2 linked regions of the Caenorhabditis elegans genome follow. The protein of the gene in region 1 interacts with the protein of each later gene in a biochemical or structural test. Each region holds a gene or a part of one and is shown in the gene's direction. Other genes may lie near its edges.

Evidence for each region.
Region 2: the proteins of pat-10 (region 1) and unc-27 interact in far-western blotting, tested with the Caenorhabditis elegans proteins (2 studies listed by BioGRID).

Annotation. Positions count from the first base shown.
Region 1 is NC_003279.8:5,018,257-5,021,770, reverse strand, and holds pat-10 (EF-hand domain-containing protein), read left to right. Parts: upstream 1-1,684; 5' UTR 1,685-1,707; coding exon 1,708-1,710; intron 1,711-1,778; coding exon 1,779-1,830; intron 1,831-1,880; coding exon 1,881-1,987; intron 1,988-2,394; coding exon 2,395-2,550; intron 2,551-2,600; coding exon 2,601-2,768; 3' UTR 2,769-2,789; intron 2,790-2,844; 3' UTR 2,845-2,988; downstream 2,989-3,514. Other genes in the region: C46H11.6 (PDZ domain-containing protein), read right to left, coding at 1-189, 681-894.
Region 2 is NC_003284.9:8,787,733-8,791,169, forward strand, and holds unc-27 (Troponin I 2), read left to right. Parts: upstream 1-1,723; coding exon 1,724-1,873; intron 1,874-1,924; coding exon 1,925-2,196; intron 2,197-2,276; coding exon 2,277-2,418; intron 2,419-2,473; coding exon 2,474-2,603; intron 2,604-2,650; coding exon 2,651-2,685; 3' UTR 2,686-2,889; downstream 2,890-3,437.

The DNA of each region.
Region 1 (3,514 bases):
CAACTTCAATAACAAAGCACGTATTGTCCCGTCTCAAAACACATCCCGATTTCTTCAACCGTTCTCTGGTCGCTGGGATAATATTTTTCCGTCTTGTAACCTCAACACTACATGTTTCACCTTTCATGAGCTCTGTCTGATACTTGGATATATTTCCACTGGCACCGTTCACCTTGACTATTTTGTCGCCTGAAAGAAAAGTATTTTTAATCTAGTTTTTTAAACTGGTTTAATACATTAATTGGAAAAGTGTAAAGTGGAAAAGAAACTAGGGAGTCTTCCGAGGAAAATTGACTTTTCCTGGCTCAAAATGTATAATTGTGGACAGAAGAGTTTTGAAACCCTTGTACCAGTCAAACCAATTTTTGCCTATTATTTTATCGGGGATAAATATACATTTGTTCGGCAAAACATCACAACTTCATAGCAAACTCTTGCAACTTGAAACAAACATTTATAAACAATTGCCAAGAGATGTTACAAAGTTGCAAAAACCGGAGCAGTTCTAAGCGAAATGTTTCATAAAGTTTGCCAAAAGAAATTGCAAGAGTCATCTGAAAAGCTGCAGAAATTTGTTAGAAAACTAAAGTAAATAATGGTTTGTAAGAAGTTGCAAGATTCTGTTATGAAGTTGGCCCGCTTCAAAATAGTTTCGGGTTATCCGGCCGTTGGAAACTTACTCAATATCAATCCATTGTAAAACGAGTTTGTTGATAGGAAAGAAACCATCGAATTCTCATTAATTCTAATAACTTCATTCGCAGGCTTTCCGACATCTTTTTCATCAATCTTGAATGAAACTGTCATATTTACAGTTTCCACATTCTGTGGGATCGGTGTCAGCCAACATTCTTTCATCTTTTTGTTCGTATTCTGCACTTTTTTCTTCGACATTCTTCTTCAAAAGAAATAACGTTTTCCGAAGTTACTTGTTAGCTCCAAACTCACGATTATGGTTTCCTTTTGAAATCCGGAAATTTAGTGTCAAATGATAAATAAGAATGATTAGAAATCTACCTCCTCCCCCTCGACTAAACTGAATTGGAAAAACATAAAGTTTAAATTCAAAATGGTGTGTCACGCGATAAAAAGTTACTGGAGAAACTTGAGAATTATAAAATAGTATTCAAATTAAACGTTTGATATAAAACTGTAAAGATATACATACTCAGTGCACATTTAAAAAAACTGAAAAAAAAACGTTGTTGTGTTCTGAAGCCCAAAAAGGCTAGATGTTCTGGTCACCATGTACAGCTAAGAATCCAAGTATTCTGGGAAAGTTCAATTACATATATTGCCTGTCAACTCCATTTCTGTACTTAATTCTACTCCAATTATATTATTTTTTTTCTATTTCCTGGACTTTTATTGATCCTTGGTTGCCTGTCCCCCCAATCTTTCTTCGTACTCTCCTCCCGTTTCCCCTTCCTTCTCGGAGAGCCTTGTCTCTCGAATCCTGTGTTTCGCAAAAATCATCGTCAACTTCCACACAGATATCATTCTGCGTCTCTTCGCCCTCTATGATCTCTCATGCCCGTTGATCAGGAGCATCTGTCACCCAGTGTAACACCAAGAATGTGTTTTGTGGAGGAGACGATGATGCCGTTGTGAGAAAGAAAAGCCCGCCCTCGGGTTCCTCCGCCTACTCGCTCCCGCCGTTGCTTCTGCCCGACGAAGCTTATCCAGAGCACAACAAACTCCGACAACATGGTGAGTCCCGCTTTCTCATGTCTTCAATAAATTTCTTTTTGAATTTTTATATGTTTATACTTTTATAGGCTGAGGATATCGAAGAGATTCTTGCTGAAATCGACGGATCCCAAATTGAGGGTAAGATATTTTATATTTATGATTGAAAAATCATCATTAAAACTTTCTAGAATACCAAAAGTTCTTCGATGCCTTCGACAGAGGAAAGCAAGGATACATCATGGCCACTCAGATCGGTCAAATCATGCATGGAATGGAACAGGATTTCGATGAGAAGGTAAATCATTTTGGAACTTTTGGTTTATGTAGAGTTAGGGGATCTTCAGAAGAGTGATAATTCAAATTAGGAAGTTTTCAACTCTTTTAAATTTAGGTTTCACGGTAATGATTAGGTAGGCCAACTGAGTAAGATAACCGAAAATATAAATGGGTTACTCTTGCCTAAAATTTTGTTTTTATCCGACCTATCTTCTGCGGCTTGTTTCTCAACTGAATTCAATTAATTTTCGCCACTAAAACATGTTACTAATGTTTGTGAAATAATTAATTTTGATATTCCATCTGAACAAAAGCATTTATTATGTCGACTAAAGTAAGATATAACTATATGTTATGAAATTTAGTTATAGAATTGATGATTTTGATTTTTCTAAATCTATGTGGCATCTAACTTCATTCTTTTAGACCCTTCGTAAACTGATCCGCAAGTTCGACGCTGACGGTTCCGGAAAGCTCGAGTTTGACGAGTTCTGCGCTCTCGTGTACACCGTTGCAAACACTGTCGACAAGGAAACATTGGAGAAAGAACTTCGTGAAGCTTTCCGTCTTTTCGACAAGGAGGTTTGTACTTTTAGATTTTGCTTTTTATTCTTTAATTATTAATTTTTCAGGGTAACGGATATATTTCTCGACCAACTCTGAAGGCTCTTCTCAAAGAAATCGCCGATGACCTCACCGATCAACAACTCGAGGAGGCTGTCGACGAGATTGACGAGGACGGTTCCGGAAAGATTGAGTTCGAGGAGTTCTGGGAGTTGATGGCTGGAGAGTCTGATTAAATTTTCTAATTCCTTTAAAATGTAAGTGTTCGAGCTTTTTTTGATTTTATTCAAAAACTAACTTTTTATTTTTCAGCGCTGATCTACAATCTTCAACTGTGGGGACCAGTCACCAACTTTTCATAATTTCCTTTTTCTTGAAATGTTAAATTCATTTCACTTTTTATTAATTTTCTTGTCATTCTTTTGAATGAATAAAAATGAATAAAAGTCTTTGTACATCCACAGGCTTATTGGAAGAGTGTGACCAATTTGAAACGGCCAAAATCAGGAAATAATCAGAAGAACTAGACTTCTCAAATCCTTTAACACAACATCAAATCCGCAGTATAGTGCTCCGTTTTCTCTTGACCTAAAAAAACGGGAAAAGTCCATCTACGGGGAATGGAATGACAAATCTCTATAAATATAGAGATTCACCGTTGCAACCTTGTTGTTTGAAAGTGAAGTGTCTCTAAATAGAATGAAAATTATGAAAAATGGAAAATGTATTAAATCACTGCAAATGAGACCTCTACTCTGCGGCATTACAGTTTTTACCGTTTTAGCGCAACAGGACAGTTTTTGTAAATTTGCAAAAGTAAAGTGACAATTCTCTATGTAGATTTTCTACGAATGAATTTCAGGATACTTGTGAACTTGCAAAACAGTTTTTCACTATTTCAATTGTTCCAAATCTAAATTCAACAAATCCCTCTCTTTTTCTCTATCTGTGCTCAACTCTTTTCTATATAAACTTAGTGTAA
Region 2 (3,437 bases), on another chromosome or scaffold:
CTACTTCTAATGAAAATTATTCCTTGATAGCAATCAAGAAATAATTTTCTAAAAGTAAAAAATTGTAAGCTGTAAAAGTTCGGTAGTGCCAATTAATTTACCCATATGACAACCGCTCATGTATAATAATATTTCGTAACACTTGTGCCCCCACTACTGCTCAACGTTTTTAACCAAAACATCATCATCGCCTCCATCAGCTATTTTTCTGTATCTTCTTCCGATGTTTCTCTTTCTCTATATACTCGTTGCAATGAACAATGTATCAAAAGAAAGATAGAGCTTGCCGCATCAGAAGAAAACAGTGTAAACTATTCGGAGATTGGCAGAAAAGCGTGATAACACAGTTGAAAACAATTCAAGATAAGAATGTGAATGTTTATGGAAAAAAGTGTTAAAAATAAACAGGACAATAGATCGGTTTAATCCATCACTACTCCATAAACTAAAATGGGTGTGAAAATAGTTACAGGGAATTGGAATTTATTTACAAGTTTCGGGTTGTTATTTACCATTGTTGGAAAATGTAGATTTTTCTCGTTGTGATCTGATTTTTGAATGTGTGATTTTTTTAATGATTTAGATTCACTTATTTTATAGTCTTGTCAAAAATAACTACTTTATGATAACAACTGATAAATTCAATTTGAAAGTAATAATATTCAACTTTTTGTGATAACTAATGATGATTTGCATACCCAATTTCATTATCCCCGCTATCTTTTTTCTTTATCACTTATCACAAATCTCAAACATCTGCCCACACCTCGCAACACTTTCAACTCATGGTCCCTAACATATTGAATTTCAAGAGAGTCTCACCGGCCACCGTGACTATTTTTATTGTATTTTTCCACACGTCACACTTGTCAGCTTGTCAATTTTTTTTTAGGTTTTTTTGTTTTCTGACCTACTCAAATCCTACGTGACAGCATGAAATTATGGAACTGAAAGAGAAATGGTTGAAAACAAAACACTGTGAAAAAATAAATAAAATTATTCTTGATTCTGATGAAAAATGTCATGTTCCAATTCACTTTTGAAACAATTTATCCAACAAATATTTACAGATCTCACTAGCGAGCCATGTCACAACTACAAAAAAGCAATCGAATTGATGAACTCAGTGACACCGTTGAAAAATCAGTATGTTATTTTAAAAATTGTTTAGGTATTTTTAGTAGTACGATTTTGATTTTTGATCACATATCTTCTTTTTGAAAATACAGAAAAACTACAGACTAGCTTCATAAATTGTTCGGAGCCCCATTCACCGAATAGCTCATAACTTGACCCACTGCCCCATCTGAAACCAATATCTTCTTGCCGCGTTCCGTTGGTTTTTTCCACTGAAGTTGCCACAGCTCTATCCCTATCTCTCGCTTGTCTTCAATCAATCTCGGCCAACGCAATTGGTAGGCAAGAATCATTACAACAAGCGGGAGACGTGTTGGAAAGAGCATCTGTCTGTATGGCATTGTCCGAGAGACCCAAAGATACAGAATTGGAGGGCGGGCGGTTTGTGGGGCGGCTGTTGCCAACTCTAGGTACCTCTCACGAGTTGCGACATCTATTGGCAGGATACTTCAGATTTCAATTCACAAGGCCTTCGGATGCATGATCAGGCTCGCCGCTAATTTGTTTTATGCTCATTCAAAAATTATTCATTTTGTGAATTTAATCTTCTGTTTTGTGATACTTGTACCCCAAACTAAAATTTCAGATGAGTGAAGAAGCCGGAGAGGACGCCCAGCGCAAAGCTGCCGAGCGCGAGGCCAAGAAGGCCGAGGTGCGCAAGCGTCTCGAAGAGGCCGGAAACAAGAAGAAGGCCAAGAAGGGATTCTTGACACCAGAGCGTAAGAAGAAGCTTCGTGTAAGTTGTGTTTTTGGAACACTTAAATGTTTAACTTATTTTTGATTTCAGAAGCTTTTGATGGTCAAGGCCGCCGAGGATCTTAAGAGACAACAATTGCTTAAGGAGCAAGAAAGACAAAAGGCTCTTGCTGACAGAACCATCTCACTTCCAAATGTTGACTCCATTGATGATAAGGGACAACTCGAGAAGATCTACAATGACCTCTGGGCTCGTCTTACCCAGCTCGAGGAGGAGAAGTACGACATCAACTACGTCGTCTCCCAGACTGAGGCTGAGATCAACTCCCTCACTATTGAGGTCAACGATCTTCGTGGAAAGTTGTGAGTTTTTATCAGTTTTTGATGAATTTCCCATATATGTAAAATCATCCAAAGTATTGATTTTACTTTTTATTTTTCAGCGTCAAGCCTTCACTCAAGAAGGTGTCGAAGTACGACAACAAGTTCAAGAAGAGCGGTGAGAGCAAGGCCGGAACCAAGGAAGACTTCCGTGCCAACCTCAAGATTGTCAAGAAGGACGTTATGGAGGCCATCGTCAATGTTGTAAGTTTTATCTGCAATGTTCGAGAATTTTGATAAACAAATATTTCAATTTCAGAAGAAGAAGGACGACAAGCCAGATTGGTCCAAGAAGAACAAGGATGCCAAGGCCGAAGACTCCGCTCCAGCTGCCGTTGCTCCAGAAGCTGAGCCAGTTGCAGAGGAAGCCGAGGCTGAGCCAGAAGCCGGTTTGTCAAAAATGATTTAGATTTTCTCGATAACTGAAAACTTGCAGAGGAAGAGGAAGGAGAGGAGGAGGAGGAGGAGTAAACTCCTAAATCCATCACTTCAATCCTGCTCAACATCATCCAAATCGACGTCATCAAACCGAACAACCCCCCTCCCCAAAAAAAAATATGCCAACATCAATATTCTGTAGTTTGTAAAATACTTTTTTACCATTTTATTCTTCCTTCGATGGGTCCCGGAAATTTAAATGTCAACAACGTGTGTGCTAATAAAATCTTGGTGGTCAGACTTGTGTGTTTGAATCCTTGAAGAAATATGAGAAGGAAGTGTGAAGTGTAGTAGGGAGTGTCTGGTTAAAAGTGATAAGTGAAGGAGAACGTGGGAGGAAAACATGAGAGGATCACTCTCCTGGGCTCTAAGAATAGTGCGAATAATTTTGGGACGCTTTGACAAACTCATTTGTCAGATAACGTTTCAAAAAGTATTTCAAATATTTTTGACACAATTTTGAAACACTCACAACATTCAACACCACAGACGCCAAAAAAACTGTTCTTGCAATTTCAAAATTTCGATCAAGTTTCCATCTGTTGAAAATTGATACATGAAAATATCTCTTTTAATTGTGCAGAACTTAATCAGCAATATTCATATTCACAGTTTAGCTGTTATGATACAATGCTGCAGTAAATTTGAAGATTATCGTGATCTATGGAGAAAATCAAGGGAAGTTGATAGCTTGGAAAAGCAAACAGGAGAGCACATTTCAATGAAAAGTCAATAGTTTTCCAAAAGTACTGTACTAGTATATTACTGAGTCTAATAAACAAAAA